Linked DNA regions of Caenorhabditis elegans. The protein of the gene in region 1 purifies or fractionates together with the protein of each later gene. This does not show direct contact. Each region holds a gene or a part of one and is shown on either strand. Other genes may lie near its edges.

Region 1 (3,374 bases):
TTCTGATCCAAATGTACCAGGAAGCTGGACGAGGAGAATATGCGACAGCTGAAAATTTGATACGTTTTGTATTTAAAATTTAATAGTAAGAAAAAATTACCGATTGGACCTGAGAATTGGCAAGCCGTAAAGTAAACGACATATTTGAGATTTAACGAGTTTGTTCGTAGATACTCTTGTGTGAAACTGAAACCGAAGTGTTCGAAAAGTTTCGAAGTTTGGGAAGCCCGTGTAATGCCGAAAAATTTAAACTTACTACAGCTGTTGATCTCCCAAAAACACTGAACTACTCGGACGAAGACACAACTCTCCATCTAGTTTTGGTTTTGATGGAGCATGAGACTCCCCCATTTCTGGAAATACATTATCTTAATATCTAAAATACTTATTTTACATTAAAAATAATTCTGGATATTAACCGAACGGCTATTTTTCATTTTTCAAAGGATAATATGCTCTTTATTTGCGATTACGAAATTGTGAAAAAGGTAGATAAAACAGCAAACACGGGAGGAGGAAAGCGAAAAAATGGGAAATTATGTGAGATCAAAATGCACATAATTATCAGCAAATGAGAATATGAAAACAAGAAAAAATCATCTTAAGATGGCATCTACCAATCCTCTTCGTTATCGTACTCCTCAACTCCTGATCTAATGATTTTCTTTTTTGCAGGAGCTGTATGCTTCTTCTCGACAGTCAATACTTCAGATCGAGCCAATCGGTTTTCCATGGTCTCGGTGGTAAACTCATCTTTTCCTCCCAATTCATCAAATCCACGAATGTAATCGACGGTTTGTTGCTTCTAAATTTATTTTTTTTTAACTAAATAATCTGGTACAGATGCCAACAAAACTCTATGAAACTAGTCAGATTTGAATTATACAACTTCAGAAAAAAAAATACTATAGCAGGAACCACATTCAAACTTACCACGACGATAGCGATGCTTGGAATGACACGAATATTGAGACGAGTTGTCAGGAAATGAACCTTCTCGGCGTTGACATGTATGAATCGTGTTCCAACATGCTTTCTAGCCAAGATCTCGAAATGCTTATCCACAATTTTGCATCGGAAGTTTCCAGGTAAGTAGAAAAGACAGACAACTTTATCGCTTTTCTTTGTAGCTTCGAAGAACTCCTTCTCGTCAGCAACTTCCTCGTATTTTCCGTGCCCATGAGACAACATCTCAATTCTGTCTTTTTGAGCTTTCTTCATTTGTTCCATCCGTTGACGACGAATTACCTCAAGATCGTCTTCTTCTAGGTTCTCAAGTCTAAAAACACACATGACAAACAGTTTCTACATTTCAAAATTACTTATTCATCTCCTGGTCGATCTGTTCCTCGACAACTTGAGCTGCTCGTAAAAGCTGCTCCCCAAACTGCTGTTGAATATTAGCGGCCATTTTCTGAAAAATTTAACAGAATTAAATTCAAAATTTAGGAAATTGGAAAGGGAAGACGGCATAATAAGAGCGGAATAAGAGGCATATGACCACCTGGAATTCTAATTACACCCTTTTTATGCCTGAAGGACCATAAAAATCGATAATGAGAAGCTACGAGAATGTTTGGAAATTCCATGAATTTATTCCAAACAATTATTTCTAGCTGTTCAGTAGAGCACACTTGTATGCTTGCACGAAACTGTGCAAACACCATCACGTCAGAATGCACACACACTTGGCAACAATTTTAATTAAATTTTATTCTTAATTTTCAGTTTTTTCGGTTCAGTTTGTATTTAAAAATAATTATTTTGATTTAATTCTTCTATTATTTATTGTGTTTCAGATGCCGAAGACCTCTGTGTGGAAAACGCGCGTTGGAACGCAAATTTTGATGGGTAAAATCACCGACATCACTCAAATTGGAATTGATAGAATTCCATGTGCTCAAGTTGGTTCAATTCTTGAAGACTTTTCGAAGTGTATTGTATTATTTTAGGTAAGATGTCAGATGAACGAATTCAACATCTATCTGAAGAAATATTTCGCCCGATCGTTCGACTTCTGGGCTCTCGACAAGTGAGTTTAAAAATAAGTTGTTTAAAATACCTGTTTTAGAATTACTGCATTTTCTCTGAACTGAATTTATCAATGTGAGAATTACATTTCAAAATTGAAAACATTTTAGAACATCACTTGGAAACATCGGAGATACAGTGCTCATCAAGCAGATCGATGGTTCTTCCCGCCCAAAGGCCAACGTCTCTCATGCTGTTGACCGTGTAGTGTTTAAATTCGGAAACATTGTCGATCCAGTCACAGGACGCAAAATATTCAACGACACATTCGCCGATGAGATTGATTTGAAGAAGGTTTTAGTGGAAGAAGTTGTGGATAAACCATTAGAAGAAGAATCAATGCTATTTGAAGAGAGAAGAGCCCTACAGATCAGAAGATTAGAACAGGAAAAAGAGGCAAATGTGTAGTTTTTGAATGTTCTGAATTTAGACGTTTGATCTGTTTTTACTTTTTGGGAATAGTTAGTTCGTTGTTGTTTATTGTTTGTCGATATTTACATTCAAAAATGAAATGTTTCTTTAAATTTTATTTTTAAAACTTTATACTTCAAGGTTGACTTGATCCTTGTATATTTTTCCAAATTATTTTTTATAATTTTATAACTACAAGTAAATTCAAATTCAAGATGGACATCTCACGTCCGGTGGTTGAGAAACCTATGTTTATAGAAGTCGAAAAGTTCGTGGAAGCTCGAACAAATTCCATTGCACAGCTACTAAAGGTAATTTTTACAACTATAATCTTCAATTCTTCCAAATTTAATTTTCAGGCTATTGACAATGACGCCCTTGTGTCTGGTGAAGTCACAAAAGGTCCAAGAACTGCTGCTCAAAGATTGCCACGTCACATGAGAAGAAGAGCGATGGCATACGATATTCGTCGATTTCCAAGAACAATGAGAGAGTTTGCAGCAGCACATTTAATTTCAAAACATGCTAAAAAGTGTCCAAGTCGGTTTGCGAGACGAAAAAGTGCAAATTCTCGAACAGTAAGAACCCAAATTAACTAAATACTAAATTGCTCGTTTTTTTCCAGAAATTTGGCAGAAGCACCAGTACAAAAGGTATCTGGCTCTCGACACATGTTTGGCATGCGAAAAGATTTCGAATGATTCAAAAATGGGGTTTCAAACTCGCGGATCGCAGCTTTCAACGTGGATTTCGAGCAGTTTTAAGAGATTCTAACAAGAATTGTGTGATTCGAGATAGATCATATTATACATGTGTTACTGTAAGTATTGAAACCAAAGAAAACATTAAGTATTTAGACGTCTAGATTTTTTTCCTCTTAACATTTAACATAAAATTTAGAAAAAAATCTAACATTTTCGTTTTCCCTATAT
Region 2 (5,045 bases), on another chromosome or scaffold:
TTAATAATTTCTGTACATTTTGGTCCTTTTTTGTTTTGAAAAAACTGTTTTTGGTGATTGAAAATTATAACTTTTTCTGTAAAAAGATGCGCCGGGATTAGTTTAATGAACGGTGGTGCTTTATTTTCTTTTCTAAAAATTATTCCTGCCGGTTGACATTTGAATTTCAAAATCGTTAGAAAATCGTAATCATTAAAATAATTGAAAAAAAAAGTATTTTTGTTTCAGAATAACAACCCGACTTACAAACGCAACTTATTGAGTCTCAAAAACCTGGTTCTGGTGAAATTCAATCAAGATCATATGGTTGTACCAAAGGATTCATCTGTGAGTGGTTTTTTTTGTTTTGCAGTTTCCGAAAGTAGACTATAGTCGCCTATAGGCGAGGGTCGCCAAAAGCTTGTTAATGCAGGCCGGAGTTTTCCCGAGTATTCTCATTCTAATGGGTACAAAGAGCCACACAGGCAACAGACATTTTGTACCACCTGTCACGGTTCTCACGCTGAAATATTTTATAAAGTCTCAATAATTTATTCCAGTGGTTCGGGTTCTACAAAGACGGTGATATTGACACAATTCTCCCAATGAACGAAACCGACCTGTACAAAGAGGATCGTATTGGATTGAAGAAGCTTCATGAGAGTGGACGAATCCATTTTATGGACGTGGATGGAGATCACTTGCAAATTCCAAGAAGTGTGCTTGTCAACGATATTATCAAAAAATATTTTATGTGAACTTGTTTGATTTTCAAAAAGAAACAACTCGTATTGTAAAACTCGTACGTAAAAATGAATTATGAAATTATCATGACTGGTTGTGTGAGCATTTTCTTGATTTGGGTTCCCATCATTTTCTAAAACATCTCGAAAAAATACGGCTCCGAGATTTCGGCATGAAAGATGTCAAAAAGCCAGAAGAGCTCCTTGATCTTTGATTTCTCACGAGAGATTCTCTAAAAATAGGGGGAAAATCAGAAAACTTAAAAAAAAATTTGGCAAACCTTCATGGATTTGACCAGTTTCATAAGAATCAGAAGCCGATGAGAATACATTTTGATATCCGTCCGATTTGTATAATAAACGTGCATTTGGTCAGCAATTTCTGCTCGCATTTGTTCGCAAGCTTCTCGTGTTTCATGAGAAAGATCACCTTCTAAAATTAAAGTTAATAAAAATTTGATTGATGTTTTTTTTTTTTACCTTCAAGTCCAATAAGGTGAACCATACAAAAAACGACTTCTTCCGTAGTTGGCTTGAGATCAAGAAGTGGCCTTGCAACTTCATCTATGTAACGGTGTAGGAAGGGTTCGAATAGTCTGAAAATTACAAAAATACAAATATAAAAATGTTCAAAGATTTTTCATCATTATATCTTTCTCGACATAGCGGCAAAAATTGTTTTGTTGAATTTTCAGTATTTCAATTAATTTTATAGTAAAGAAAATGCTGTATCAAAATGTGATCCTAAAACCAACGCAACTTTGAGTAGGCTTTTCAGAACATTGACAAATTTCAATCAGCGAATTGTGGGCATTTCAAAGTTTTTGAAACAGAAAACTCACTTGTTGAAATATTGATTCGTGAGATCAGTTATCGAGGCAAAGTCAATATGAGTTGATTCCAATTTCATTGCGAGATCATCATTGATAAGTATATACTGAAAAACAGTTGATATTTTTAAAAATAATTAAAAACTATTCTCACTCCTCCTCGAATGACTCCTTCTTCAAAAATCTTGACAGACATTTCTAGGCGCTCAAATGTTCTAACGACATTCCAAGAAGATCGGAAGAGCTGCATTTTTTGATCCATGGGTAGAGACATTAAAGATTTTGAAGAGGAAAACCAACAAGAGTACATATAGATTCGATCATTGAGCCAATCAATAGCAGATTTCAGCTCGACTTTGTCAAGAAAAGAGATTTGACTTTGAGCTTTTTGATTTTTCCTAAACTTTTTCAATGCAGACGTCAAAGTAGTCAGTTCACAATCGTCGCCTTTTGTTTTATGCTGAACATAAAATAACAAAATTTTCACTTTCAATGTTTTTCGCTTCAACTTACCGAAAATGACGTTTCAATTTTCTTCACCAAGTCATTAAAACTGATAACCATGTTCGGCTTATCCGGTGTTTTTGGCGAGAAGGTGAACAAAAAGTTCGGATCAATTCCAGGTGACTCCACCGAGTTCTTCCGGCTCAAGTTGGTCGGGCTGTAATCAGATTGAGCTGGGCTTCCATTTGGCGTAGAGAATTCGTCCTGAAATGTAGTAAATAAAATAATTGTTTTTAATTTAAAAAACAAAACTCACACTTCCACTATCCTCCATCAAACCGCGAAACGAGTACGTTGGGTCATAGTCCAATTGAACTTCTGAAAAATGAGTATATTTTACTAGAAAAAGAAGAGAAAAAAAGAAGAGAAAAATAATTGGACTCTGTAAAATTTGCAGAAAAAAACGCTTTTGGTTAAATTCCAAAAGAATGGCAGCAAAATTTTTGACAGTAATTGAAATTTTATTTGTGTTTTGGAAAGGATTTAGTTATTTCACCACTAGCAAAAATGAGTGGTGATTTTTAGCAATTTTCAAAATTCAACATTATGTAAAAAAAGGAAATAGGGCACTTTTGTATTTAATGCCCTCATTTTGAAATTATTTAAGCTATAAAAAAAACCTTTGGAATATTTTTGTAATTTTCGGACTTCGGAAAAAATCCTTTCTAAGCCTAAAGAGTAAAAATCAAACATAGAGATGATCTAGAAATTTTGTTAGGATTTTTTATTTTTCAGAAAAAATTATTTTTCTGCGTATTCCACAAAACCTATTCACATGAAGTTTTTGAAAATTTGTCAAACCAATTTTCGCAACAATTTTTCACAAAAACTTTTGATGTAAAATTTTTTGATGTGCACGATATGCACTTGAAAATCTTGCAAGTTTTTATTTTTTTGGAAAAAAAAACATACTCTCTTCATTCATCCCGATTGCTTTGCACTTTGTCAGACGACACTGCCGGCAGACATATCTATAAACAAAACGTGAATTTTCTGATTTTGAAGACTATAGTAACTCACCTTCCACGACCATCAATATTGCATTTTGAATTCCCCTGCTTACATTTATACTGTAATTTCAGTACAGTAGCCCTTCGAAAGAATGCGGCGCACGCTCGGCAGGTGAGTGCACCGAAATGCATTCCATTTGAAGCTTTTTTGCAAACCAAGCATGACTTGTCAGGTACCATTTTTAGATTCTGAGAAGGAAAAAAAGTGTGATCATCATTTTGTAATATGCAAATTGGGTGTTGTCATTCTAAGAGATCTCTACCAGATATGTTATTAGAGAAATGAAAAACGTAGAGAGGAGAGGAAAAGATCAAGTGACCACCGAAAAGGGTTTATATTTGAGAAAAAAAAAGAGGGAAACTTGAAGGAAAAATGAACGTACCTACATGTCAAATTTTGAGACTGAAAACCCAGCCTCAAATCACAAAGTTATCACAGCAATTTTTTGGTACTTTTCTTCACATGTAAGGCAAGATCAGAAGAGAGACATTTTCGGCTGGGGGAAGACGTCATGTCGGCATGTTCTCTGATCGTTACGCTGGTCGAAGACGTAGGAATCTCAGACAAACAATTAAAATCTCACCCCCTTCCGAAAAGAGATAGTCTAGTTGTAGTGGAAGGAAAAGCATAATGACAATTATCAGGATGAAGTGGTGAATTTGGCTAACCGTATTTTCAGAAAACTTTAGCTGGAGTTGTATGAAACGTTTTAAAAATGTGCCTAGGGATACTATAGATACTGAAAGTTCTTAAAATAGAAAACTCAGAAATTTCATATTCGATCTGATGATAAAAGATTTTGAATTTACTTTCCACTTGAAAAGACCACCTCAAAAATTTGTTTCAAAATGTTTTTATGTTCGATGAACCAAAAAGGAAAAAAGTCAGAAAAAAAAGATTTTCGGAATGTGAGAATTTTGGGTTTTCTTGAATTTTATAGGAAAACAATCCCCTTCTGATTACTGCTACATACATTGTACAATTTTTTTAAAAGTGCACACATTGGTACATGATTTGTGATAGAAAATTTTAAGTCAAAATTGTAACTTCGATGGAATTGCGGAAAATCAGAAACAAAAACATTTTAGAATTGCTAGATTGATAGTGACCGATTTAGAATTTTGGATAAAATACGTTGAGCTACTTTATATAGAGGCAACCGATCTTGTCCATCTAATTCGAAACATGTATGTCTTTTGTCGTTTCTATGTTCACATCTGTCTGCGTCTCTTCATAAATTGTCAATCTCTAGCTGTCAATTGCTACTCGGTCTACGAGCATCGATTCACACGCGACCTGTGTTCGCCGAATTGGACTTCCGCAAAACTTTCAAAAGACTAATGTCATCTGATTAGTCTGCGTCTCCGATAGACTGTCATCTGCAGGTAGCCGTCCACCATCCTTGCATCTTCATTGCCAGCCTCGAACCTTTGCCAAACGCTGCAAACTTTTGACAGATCCCGCCTCCCGACCCGCAAGATGATTCGTTAATGCGTTTGGGCCCGATGTCTTATCGTCGCCCTCTACAACACTTGACTCATGAAATAGGACATGGAGACCAGAAAAAGAGAAAAATATTGTGTCTGTTGACGGGGAAAGTTGTTCATTTTTAGGGCATATAACTGTATATATGTTTCAAAAGTTCCTGATCTAGACTGATTCAATTGGGAACAATCATTTTTCTATTCATTTAGATCAGTTGATAGACATCAGATATGTTTTCTCCGATTTTCTTACCCGATGAGTAATAAATTTGCCAAATATGTAGTTCGCATATTTTCCGAGATATCATGATATTTTGTCAATTTGCAAAAGTAGCATCAAAGTAACAACTAGTACAACAATGTTATTCATATAAATTCAATTCACCGCTTTATTAAGTATGCATGTCAAGGAAAACTATTCCCTCAAGTTAAAAAAAAATAAATACAAATAAGTTTAGTCCTATAGTACATAAACTGAAGACTAATTTCAAGTT

Evidence for each region.
Region 2: the proteins of mrps-17 (region 1) and nhr-37 fractionate together in Caenorhabditis elegans (co-fractionation; one large-scale study listed by BioGRID). This does not show direct contact.

What each region holds. Positions count from the first base shown.
Region 1 is NC_003281.10:6,430,218-6,433,591, reverse strand, and holds mrps-17 (Small ribosomal subunit protein uS17m), read left to right. Parts: upstream 1-1,793; 5' UTR 1,794-1,799; coding exon 1,800-1,904; intron 1,905-1,952; coding exon 1,953-2,032; intron 2,033-2,141; coding exon 2,142-2,439; 3' UTR 2,440-2,550; downstream 2,551-3,374. Other genes in the region: vps-16 (Vacuolar protein sorting-associated protein 16 homolog), read right to left, coding at 1-48, 101-186, 257-351; txdc-9 (Thioredoxin domain-containing protein 9), read right to left, coding at 614-805, 934-1,279, 1,323-1,411; Ribonucleases P/MRP protein subunit popl-1, read left to right, coding at 2,691-2,753, 2,802-3,020, 3,068-3,262.
Region 2 is NC_003283.11:6,620,469-6,625,513, reverse strand, and holds nhr-37 (Nuclear Hormone Receptor family), read right to left. Parts: upstream 3,321-5,045; 5' UTR 3,247-3,320; coding exon 3,077-3,246; intron 3,028-3,076; coding exon 2,969-3,027; intron 2,375-2,968; coding exon 2,313-2,374; intron 2,261-2,312; coding exon 2,066-2,260; exon of another isoform or gene 2,059-2,065; intron 2,013-2,058; coding exon 1,707-2,012; intron 1,660-1,706; coding exon 1,565-1,659; intron 1,319-1,564; coding exon 1,203-1,318; intron 1,156-1,202; coding exon 1,004-1,155; intron 956-1,003; coding exon 857-955; 3' UTR 738-856; downstream 1-737. Other genes in the region: ppt-1 (Palmitoyl-protein thioesterase 1), read left to right, coding at 229-327, 540-737.